2 linked regions of the Ovis aries genome follow. The protein of the gene in region 2 interacts with the protein of the main gene of each other region in a pairwise test. Links are inferred from orthologs where the notes say so. Each region holds a gene or a part of one and is shown on either strand. Other genes may lie near its edges.

The links. The genes of interacting proteins can lie anywhere in the genome.
Region 1: the proteins of STAC3 (region 2) and FAM133A interact in binary tests that used the Homo sapiens proteins (3 or more experiments, as listed by UniProt). The two-hybrid records come from large-scale screens. The link is inferred for Ovis aries from reciprocal best matches to the Homo sapiens genes STAC3 and FAM133A.

The regions. Positions count from the first base shown.
Region 1 is NC_056080.1:140,887,709-140,893,433, forward strand, and holds the start of FAM133A (protein FAM133A), read right to left. Parts: upstream 3,303-5,725; 5' UTR 2,893-3,302; exon of another isoform or gene 2,742-2,892; intron 2,587-2,741; exon of another isoform or gene 2,365-2,586; intron 2,099-2,364; 5' UTR 2,029-2,098; intron 1-2,028.
Region 2 is NC_056056.1:162,370,679-162,376,497, forward strand, and holds the start of STAC3 (SH3 and cysteine-rich domain-containing protein 3), read left to right. Parts: upstream 1-1,969; 5' UTR 1,970-2,164; intron 2,165-2,884; 5' UTR 2,885-2,885; coding exon 2,886-2,945; exon of another isoform or gene 2,946-3,205; coding exon 3,206-3,473; exon of another isoform or gene 3,474-3,709; coding exon 3,710-3,807; exon of another isoform or gene 3,808-4,021; coding exon 4,022-4,094; exon of another isoform or gene 4,095-4,963; coding exon 4,964-5,061; exon of another isoform or gene 5,062-5,819. UniProt on the Homo sapiens protein: Required for normal excitation-contraction coupling in skeletal muscle and for normal muscle contraction in response to membrane depolarization. Required for normal Ca(2+) release from the sarcplasmic reticulum, which ultimately leads to muscle contraction.

The sequences.
Region 1 (5,725 bases), on a different chromosome or scaffold from region 2:
ATGGAGAATGGATCAGAAAACAGAATTCAGAAACAGAACCAAATGATTTAGTTAATACAATAAAGGTGACACTTCAAATATGTGTGAGATAGAAAGATTATCAAATAAGTGATACTCAGAAAATTAACTAGCTAATAAAAATACATTAAAAAGTCTGAATCCCAAACTCACTGCTTACTTCAAAATACTAATTCTCCATTGGGTACATGTACCACAGCTTTCTTATCCATTCATCAGCTGATGGACATCTAGGTTGCTTGCATGTCCTGGCTATTATAAACAATGGAGTATTACTCAGCCATTAAAAAGAACACATCTGAATCAGTTCTAACGAGGTGGATGAAACTGGAGCCTATTATACAGAGTGAAGTAAGCCAGAAAGAAAAACACCAATACAGTATACTAACGCATACATATGGAATTTAGAAAGATGGTAACAATAACCCTGTATGCAAGACAGCAAAAGACACAGATGTATAGAACAGTCTTTTGGATCTGTGCGAGAGGGAGAGAGTGGGATGATTTGGGAGAATGGCATTGAAACATGTATAATATCATATAAGAAATGAATTGCCAGTCTAGGTTCGATGCAGGATACAGGATGCTTGGGGTTGGTGTGCTGGGATGACCCAGAGAAATGGTATGGGGAGGGAGGTGGGAGGGGGGATTCAGGATTGGGAACACATGTACACCTGTGGTGGATTCATGTTGATGTATGGCAAAACCAATACAGTATTGTAAAGTAAAATAAAAAAATTTAAAAAATTAAAAAAGAACCAAAATACTAATTCTTGTTGGTACAAAACTTAACATGTATATTAAACCATTAAAGTACTATAAAATATAACTTCCTTCATTAACAAAATGTGTCCATCATTTTAAGGGAAAATAATAATTTATAGAACAATATTTACAGCATAGCTTCATTGATTTAAATCATTGTTTCTATAGTATATATTTTAATTAAAATTATAAAAATGAAAGGATATGCACCCAGTAAGTTTTAGTGAGACTTATATCATCTTCCTCTACCACATGTGCCTGGCACATGGCAGGCACAAAAATATAATAGTTGAATGACTAAATAAATGAACTGATGCATTGTTGGTATAATTGCAAATTGTGATAATTTTTTCTGGAGAGAAGTTTTGCACTATGTATCAAAGAGTAAAATGATCAGGCAGTTTATTTCAGGACTCTCATTTCTAGGAATTCATCATATGGCTAATTTTTACAAGTGCATAGAGTAGGTATCTGAGATAACTATTTTCTAACAGGAAAAATACGTCTACTAGTAGAGAGGTAGTATAAGTAGCTGCTGTACAATAGGAATCTGGTTAAACTACGGGAAATATTTTCATGGAATATGCATCTATTTAAAAATGAGATGTTCAACCATTTACTGTGAAAATATAGCCACAATTAATTGATAAATAAGCAGATTACAAAACACAATATGATGTCACATAGATAAAACAGCATGTGTAAACAGGCATATGTATATATTTACAAAGAAAATTCTGGAAGAAAATGCATCAAAATTCTAACAGTGGTTATCATTTGATTGTGTTTGTATTACCATTGAAATTTTCTATGCTGTATTTTTCCTTACAATACTTACATACTTTGACAATCAGGAGTAAATAATAAAAGTAAATTCATTTATAAAATAGAAATAAAAGTGTTTCCTAACTTAAAAAATACAACTAAATAAGCACAAATTCTGTAATAAAAAGGAAAGATAAGAGGTAATCTAACTTTAATACTTTTCCTCATTTGAAATGAATAATTCATCATATTTTATATTTTAATTTGTTACTTGTAGTCTATGAGCAAGTTCAGAAAAGTGAATGTGATTAATTAGGTTATTTTCTACATTAGTATTCCAAATCACCTCTGTGGATTTTTCTGCTTCCATGGAACTAACAAGATATCTTCCAAATAAAAGGCTACATCTTGTGAATTTTTATTTAAATATAGATAGGTAATTCTTGTCATTCATAAAAATGGGCTAAATATGTTCCTTACCTTTCAATGAAAAGTAAACACTGGTCTTTTTGGTTGTACCAAGGGAGTCGTTCTGTTGCAGAAAAGAATCCTGTAAATAAAAATAACAGATACCTGTTTTTAAACTTCATTTTGCAAAAGTGTATTCATCTATTACTGAACCTGTAAATCATACTTCAGTATGGCTAGAATTGTACAATGTTAGAAGGAAACTGGTGGCAGATGCCATTGTAAAGTACACCCTGACAGAGGATGCAGTTTCATCAACACATTCCCCCTCCCATCCTGCTATTCGTGAAATTAAAAGCTGCTGCCACAAAAGTATAGAATAAACCATCTGCTTTTAAATACTACTACCTAACATTTGAATGCCCGTTTATCCTTTTTATCTACAAGATTGTTAAAAGCATGGAGAAAGACTACGTGGCAAATCACCAGCAAGGACAGGGTCTATGACATGTCAGATTAAAAAGAGAAATACAGTAAAAAAAAATGGTGTAACTGACTCACGGCAACATGGGTTCGCAAACCTTGTAGATGGATATAAAACAGGCTTGCCAAACATCACAAACAGCACTTATTAAAGCTGCTACGTGGAATTCAATATGCCTGCTTTCTAGCCCCTCCCCCCTTCGCCAATAAACGACTCCCCCTTTTTACCCAGTGTAAAAATACATGCTCATAAGACATTCAGATAAAAGAAAGAGAATTTAAAAAGAAATCCATAATCATACTATCCAATGATGCCATTTGGAGCATTTTCTTCCAATTTTTTAAGAACAGCTTTTTGTCACGAGGCCCCTGACAAACCAAATGGGAATTAAGGATGAGTGGATGGGAGCGTACTCCTCTTCCCTTGTTAGGAACCATGACTAGTATTTTTACCTCATATCTAAGCTTTTTTTTTTTTTTTTGAAATTATAAAACTATAAAGACAGAATTTTAAGGGGAAAAAAGTCTTCAGTGGTGTGTGCCTCAGCAACCAAGGAGCGACTGGAAAGGAAGGCGGAGCCTAGAGGCGGCGGTGTGCTTGCGCACTTATTGGGCTGATGCATTGTCAATCAAGGTCAATCAAGTTTGTCTAGCAAATGAGGTGCGAGCTAAAGGCACACTGGGAACTAAAGGAACTGGAGGTCTGACTGCGAGGGGAGGGGGCTCAAGATGTAAGCAGTGAAGAGATCTCGGGCTCTCGCAGTGCGATATTCAGCTGCGTCACACCTCAGTCCGCCGCAGCTGCAGGTCAGAGAGGCCTTGCCTCCACCACTGTCGCCCAGGCCTCCGCTGCCGCCGCCACCTCCGGTGCAGTCACCTCGGCCCAGCCGCGCCCCGCCCAGCGCTCCTGCTGCCTTCACCGCTGCCACTTCCTCAGCCCCGGCTTCCGCCGCCACCACCCAAGCATCCGTGAGTCATTTTCTACCCATCTCTGGGCACGCGGTAGTGACCACCTAAGAGGTTTGCAGACTTGCAGAATGGCAGAAGCGGATCCTAACAGGGTCTCGGAACCTGCCGCCCAGGGGGTGGATGGAGAGATGGTAGCTATCTCGTCTAGCGATTCTGGGGACGAATCTGACAGCAGCAGCTGTAGCAGCAGCAGTAGTTGCAGTAGCAGCAGTGGCCGCAGCCCATTCTATAGACGTATAAGTGTACCTGGGCCCTCCAGAAGTGTGAGGCGGGCTCCGTCAGGTAGAAGTTTCGTGGATCAGCTGCCTCGGGCGGTTAGAAATCGTGTGCAGGCTCTCAGAAATATTCAAGACGAATGTGACAAGGTAGACGCCCTGTTCTTAAAGGCAGTTCATGATCTCGAACGAAAATATGCCGAACTCAATAGGGCTCTGTACAACCGGCGATTCCAAATCATCAATGCAGAATATGAGCCCACGGAAGAAAAATGTGAATGGAATTCGGAGGATGAGGTGTTCAGCAGCGATGAAGAGATGCAGGAAGACTCTAGTGAGATGCCTGCTTTAGAGAGTGAGGAAGAAGAGGATGACCTGGAAGCAAAACCTGAGGTCAAGGCTGAAGAAAATGTAACACCAAAAGAAAATTCCGAAGCAAAGACTGAAGAAAAAGCACAGTCCAAAGATGCTCTGGAGGCCAGGCCTGAAGTAAAAGAAGATCCAAAATAAGCCCTCCAGGCAAAGGCAGAAGATAAAGGGCAGGCTAAAGCAGCAGAGGCTAAGGCAAGGACTCCAGGAAAAGAGGCTCCAAAAAGAGTTCCTGAGGTCACGCCTAAAGATAGAGCTCTTAAAAGAGCTCGAAAAGGAAAGCCTAAAAGATAAGATCCTAAAGGCATTCCTGACTATTGGCTGACTGTGTTCAAGAATGTTGACAAGCTGGGGCCCATGATTCAGAAGTATGATGAGCCCATTCTGAACTTCTGTCTGATGTTAGCCTGAAGTTTTAAAAACCCAGCAGGCCTGTAAGTTACACATTTGAATTTTGCTTTCTACCCAATCCATACTTCAAGAATGAGGTGCTGACCAAGAGATATATAATAAAGTCAAAGCCAGATCACAATGATCCCTTCTTCTCTTGGGACTGGGAAATCCAAGATTGCAAAGGCTGTAAGATTGGAGAAGAGGAAAGGATGTTACAATGACAACCACCCAGAGTTGCACAGCAGCTACTGGACAAGTTGAAACCCAGCCAAGAGTGGTTCCTGATGCATCATTCTTCAATATCTTTAGCCCTCCTGAGATTCCTACTATCGGAAAGCTTGAACCACGAGAAGATGCTATCCTTGATGAAGATTTTGAAATTGGTCAAACTTTGCATGATAACGTCATCCTGAAATCAATCTATTACTATACAAGAGAAGTCAATGGTACCTATGAGTCCATAAAGACTATGGAAATAGGAAATAACGAAAATATAAAAGAGGCTGCATGAAAGAATTTTCAGGAATCTCAAATTTCAAGCAGAAATGAAACAGGTTTATATAGCCTTGAAAAAACCTGCCCTGTAATCTCAACACTAGTATTCCTCATAGTCTTGAGTTTTTGTACTTTCTTCATAGCCTAAAATATTGTCTTAAATTGTCTTAAATTCTATCTAGCCTGTTGTTGTGTAATATTCTTCAAAACGTGTAACTTGCTGTCAGTTGTCTAAAGCATGTTGTTTGGTGCTACAAGGTTCTAATTTTTGTGAAATTTTTTGTTGTGTTCCTATTACAATATAGCTGTGAAAACTGTAAGAATTGTTAACCAAGACAATATTTCCTTGAAATAAAACAAAGTTCCTGAAATATCAATGCAAGTGTTTTTTTTTTTTTTTTTTTTTCCCAGACTGGAAGACTAAGGCTTTAAATCTGCTTTGTACTAGCTGTGCTTTCATTTGCTACAGAAATACAATATTATACTATCTTGAACAGTGCATTGTGAAATTTGACTGCTTGAAAAAAGATTACCATACATTTAATAATGTCCATCAAACCATGTATGATATGACTGAGCATGTTAATGTGACATAGTGATTTATAAATTTAAGGATAATGAAGTTACTGTTTACTACTGAGGTGTTAATATAACATAGCATTTTTTTAAAAATTCTGCTCATCTTATCCTGTGTAACTGTGAACTAAAGGTACTAACCACATTTTCTTTGTAATATGTTCTATTTTGCCTTTCACTGGAAATGATCACTTTATATCATTTGGTATTTATTTTTCATGTTCTATTGCAACCTAAAATAAAGAAATGTCAAATAAAGTGTATCATGC
Region 2 (5,819 bases):
TGTTTTCTGTTCCACCCTGGTGTGGATGGGGGCTGGGTGGGTTTGGTGTGGGCTGGATGGCTTTCTCTGGCATATGCACACATATCTGCCTAACACAGTTCCCTGCATCCCATCCTCCTAACAAGTGTTTCTGATAGATGGCTGGGTCTCTGACAGGACTCTGCCACGAACTGTGGTTTATCAAGCACATCATGCTAGACACTGGACCTCTGAGTTCTTACCAGTAAAATAAGAGACTTGGACTAACTAGGTGACCTCCAGGTTCCTTCCACCCTGTTAATTCTGTGATATTCATTTAGGGTTCTGGTAGCTAAGCCAGAGGGGTGTGAGTGAGGTCAAAATTGGGTCAAGATGCTGGCCTCATACATGCCCATCTCCTGAAAACTCTTCAGGGATGGAGGACTTGGGCATTTCTTTAACTCCAAAGCCAGAGGGCTGGGTTCTACCTGATAGGAACAGGATTGCATGTTTCTTAAAATAAAAGCTGTACCAGTTGAATGTGCTGTGCCAAGATGCCATACTGCCCAGGTGTGCTTAGCAGTCCCTGTCCTGTACAACTAAAGAAAGACAAAGAACAGAAGTCATGTGCCCATAAGATAGAACTCTCCTCTGTCTTCACAAAGCTAACCCTGTTGTTGAACCAGTCAGACCAGGGCTGTTAAAGAGCCTGTTGACCCAGAACCATCCAGCAGCCCCTTCTCAATGTCACCCTCCCCTTAAAGAAAGAAAAAACAGCAGTAGGTAGAAATGACAGCACACTGCCGTGGAAATCCCTGGGGTGTGGATAGCAGTGTCTCTCTAGCCAGCCTCCTCTGAAGTTAGTCTGACCCAACCTCTAACATAATCCTTTACTTTTTGCAGATACACAGGATAAAGCAACACGACATTATTGTCTCCAAATTACTCTCCTCTGAGATGGGAGTATCTCCTTTTTCAACCATGTCATAGCTCAGACTAGGAAAAGGCTGCATCCCTGTGAGATAAGGCTGCCAGATATATATTTGACCCCTTGGTTCATATGCCAGGGCAGCAGAGGAAGGAGGTGGAATCAGGGAATCAGAATGACGAGGGAAGCTTGGGGCTTGGCCATCCCACCTCTTAGAGTTTGCAGATGGGAAAGGGCACATTACTTACAGATGACAGACTCCCTGTGTGACAGCTGTTGCTTTCTGTCCAACATTAACAGAACAATCTCTATGTGATCATTAGACCCTCACTCCCCCAGAACCTCTCAAATGGAAGTCCCAGCCTGGCTTTTTAAAATAGCTTTTAGAATTCTGTTCACCCCAAGGACAAGATTTTCGGGGGATAGGGGACAGATATCTCTGAGGGCTACTGCAGGGAACAAAGCAGTACCACAGGTTCTTCACTCCCTCACAGAATAGCAGCAAGGCACTCTTCCAGCTTCCTGTGGATAGAAAAGCAATCAAATTTTCCTTTCTTCACCAGTTTCCAAGCCCTTTCCTTCCTAAAGATTGGAGGCTAGATCAGTGCTCGAGGGTATAAAAACACGTGGCCACAAGAAGACAGTGGCTGAGAGGTTGAAAGCTAGATTCCAGAGAGAGTAAAACTGGGGAGGTGTTTGGATCTTGGGATAAGGGGACGAAGAAGGCTGCTTATAATTCATCTTTACCTTTAGTTATTTAAAGTCACTCTCTTGAGTGAATTCCTTGGCAGTCCAGTGGTTAGGATTCTGAGCTTTCACTGGGCCCAGGTTCGATTCCTAGTCAGGGAACTAAGATTCCACAAGTAATATGGAGCAACCAAAAAAAAAAAAAATTGATCCACATGAGTATGCAGTATGGACTGTGCCTTCCTGAATTTAGCCAGTTCTGACCTGCACACCATAGATGAAAACCTGGGCAACAGCACTCGGGGGGGTGGGAGGAGTTAGGGTCCAGCCCGCCCCGTGTCCAATTTCTCTGTGTCAGCTGTGTCGCTCAGCTGTCCACTTCCCTCTAGCCCTGTCATTTCAGCTCTGACACCAAGGCAAGAGGCTAGGAGGTCTACAAACACCGTCTGGGTAGCCGGTGTGAGTACAGAGGGTACTGGGGGGGCTTAGCCCCCAAGGAAGACGACCAGCCTTCCCCGAACACCACCATCAAGATCACAGGGGCTCCCTCTTTCCTCTGCAGGCTGTGAACTGACTTAGGGAATCCCAAACGTAAGTTGCCTCTTCATCCTCTTTCCATTTCCAGGATTGCTCACCCAAGCTTCCCCAATCCATAGTCTATTCAGCTTCTTCATTTCTCTCCTTGTTTGTGAGTAGTTTGGGTTTTAGGAGTGAATTTATTATGCTACTCCAGGACAAGAGCTAGGATTGGAGGGTGGGGTGGGGGTGGGATCAGGAGAATGGAGCAGTAAGGGAAGGAAAGGCTCATATTACTCTGAAAACTTAAAATAGCTAAAGGCTGAGGCAGGCTGGGAACTAGGCACTGGGCCCCCAGGGCTCATGGGAGAGCTAGAGGAGAACAACTGTGCTCAGCCCATCCCTCCACGCATGTTTGTGGACACACACATTAAACCTTTTGAAAGAGGATCTAGGGAGGTGTGTGTGTCACATTTCTGTTGCCCCAGGTTTTCAGGAGAAACAAAGTATCTGTAGGAAAATCCCTAAACCATGCAGCCTTGGGGCTGTAAACTTGGGTTGTCCCTCAGGGCAGAAGGATGCTTACTGATTTGAGGAGTTGGTTGGGAAGTTCTTTAGTCTGCTGGGCTTTTCTCTGGCCCTCCCTGCTCATAAATCTTGTGAAAGGATCTCTTTTTAACCAAATTTCTCACAAAGCCTCCCCTTCAAGGACCACCCTACTACAAGGGACAGGAATAAGGGAGGGAAGAATGGCAGCTGGGGATGAGATTTCATGGTGGGTCCAACTTCTTGCAGGATGACAGAAAAGGAGGTGCTGGAGTCCTCCTCTTTTCCATCAGAGACTCGGAAAGGTGGGGTGAGTCTGGGCCTCTGACCACCGGGGGTGGGAAGCTGGGGAGCCCCTGCAGCTCTTGAAGAAAAGTGCTTGAATTGATCTCACTTGTATATGTTAAAATCTCACTTACTGTTAAAATGCTCCATAGCACCTGCAGCCCCCACACCCCCTAATCCCGGAGTGTGGCCCTTGTCCCAGGTAGAAAAATGTAGAGATAGCCTCAGCCTTACCTACTCTAGAAGGCAAGACAGTTCTTTCAACACTGGATCTCCCTCCCTCAGCTACAGCGGCTGAAACAGTTATTCAGGAAGGAGTCTACAGGGACAAAGGAGATGGAGCTTCCCCCAGAGCCCCAGGCCAATGGGGAGGCAGTGGGAGCTGGAGGTGGGCCCATCTACTACATCTATGAGGAAGAGGAGGAAGAAGAGGAGGAGGAGGAGGAGCCACCCCCAGAGCCTCCTAAGCTTGTTAATGATAAACCTCACAAATTCAAAGATCATTTCTTCAAGAAGCCCAAGTTCTGTGATGTCTGTGCCCGGATGATTGTGCGTGAGTCACGAAGGGAAGTGGAGAGAGTGCTGTTGAAGGCAGGGGTGGGGGAAAGGGTTTAGGAGAGAAGTATTTGTCTGATCAGACAGGCTGTGGCAAGATCTGGCTCTAGGAAAATACTTAGAGACAGTGTGGGCTCCCAGACAGAAAAGGGACCGGGGAGCTAGAGCAGCAGCAGCCTTTCAAAGGGGGAGGGAAACCAGGAGCCTCACCCAGCATTCTCTCCATCTCCCAAGTCAACAACAAATTTGGGCTTCGCTGTAAGAACTGCAAAACCAACATCCACGAACACTGCCAGTCCTACGTGGAGATGCAGAGATGCTTCGGCAAGATCGTGAGTAGGCTCTGGGGAGCAAGAAAGTAGAAGGCAGGGCACATATGGCCAGCTTCCTCCTTTGCCAGTCCCTCCTCAAGTCACCCCACCCATTTCCCTGCTTTTTCTTCCTCAGCCCATCTCTCACTCCAAGAAGGGGCACACACACGTGGGAGAGACAGGGTTCTGGGCCCTGCCTGGTATCGCTAATGTTGTCTCCCATCCAATCCTACAGCCCCCTGGTTTCCATCGGGCCTATAGCTCTCCACTCTACAGCAACCAGCAGTACGCTTGTGTCAAAGATCTCTGTAAGTGCCCCGTACGGAACCTGAGGGAGTGGGAAAGCCTAGAGGTGCTTTCAGCACTGTCTCCAGATTTGGAAGCCAAATTCTGAAACAGAAAGATTCTATTTCCCATCGTTTTCACTCAATCTAGTGTTTCAGCCATCTTGGATACAAAGTCAGTATCCCCGTGTTTTATGGCTGGGGGAGATAAGATTTAGCTCTATATGGTAAGGAAGAGACTGAAACTTTCATCTGCCTGAACTCAAACTCTGTGCTCTTTCTATGCAAAGCCATTTGTAACCATGAACTACACTCTCCTCATCCCCTTATTACAAAATAATGCCAGACTCAGGGCCAGATAAAGAGCTGTGGGCATCCTGGGAAGATTCATAATTTGGCACCCCTTAAAAATGTATTCATTGATAATTTGCTCAACCTTTATCTGGAGAAGAGGCTGAACTCTCTGTGAGGAGCATGGATGGAAAAAATGAAGAACCCACTGCTGGTAGTACCCCAGCTTGCACATGCCACTCAGAGGAATAAAAGCCAACCGTTACACAAAGGACCCACTCTCCTTGAAAAGAGTGATTCTGAGCATTCCCCAGCTCCCAAGCAACTTATTAGTAGAGTTGTCTTTCTAACAACATACAATGCTTGGCCTGGAAGGAGCACTGGTAAATATTTTTCTCCATCATACTTCCAGTGATGTCTTTAGAGTTCTTTATAAATTGATGATCTAGGTATTCCCAGCTGACACTTTTCTAATTCTAAACACACACACTCGGGTATCTATTACTCAATCCCATCTCTCCCTTACTTAGGTGGTTTCTCTTTCCTCCAAGACTTTTTCTGCCTCCCCACTAATAGCTCTTTTCTTCTCCCATTCCAACTAGCTTCTGCCAATCGCAATGACCCTGTGTTTGAAACCCTTCGCACTGGGGTGATCATGGCAAACAAAGAACGGAAGAAGGGACAGGCAGATAAGAAAAATGTGAGCACCCAATCTTCCTACTGAGATCCGTTCCAGAGACCCCAGTGAGCAGGTCCTGTCTCCTCTCTGGAAAGCTGACAAAAGTAGGGATCCTTTTCCCCTAAAACTGCACATAACCCAACAGACAAATTTCTGTGTGCAATTTTAAAGGGCCTCAGTTTAGCATCTCCTTACAGCATGTGTTTAGGAACTCCCTTTTGAACTTGTCAGATTAACCACCATAATTCAACTAAAGGCTAGGACCTAGGCCTCTGGCATTGCCAGGCAACAGAAGTGATCTATATGCTTTTGGATTTGGGAAGGAGAACTTGTCATGCCATTCTAGAACCCCATAAGGGCCCATGAAGACAATCTGTTCTGACTCATCTATCCGAAAGATGAGGAAACGGAAACACAAAGCTTCTGGCCAAGAGCACCTTCATTTCCTAGATTGGTAATACAATAGACTTGTATTCAGCTCAGCAAGGGATTTGTTAGCATATCCTTACATCTTTCTGGACAAGGATGGACTAATGTGGATAATGATCACAGTTAGATGGATTCATAAAATTAGTTGAATGACAGCACCCAAAGGATCCTGGTCCTTTAGGGAGTTTCCAACTATAGGGAGGTTTCTGATGCTTTTTGACATGTTTTAGTCCTTGGTTCTCACCTACGGACATTTTTCTCACTGCTACAAATGAAGATATAAATGATATGTCCCATGAACTTTGTAGGAAACCTATGAGGGAAAACTTATACACTGAATAATATATTCA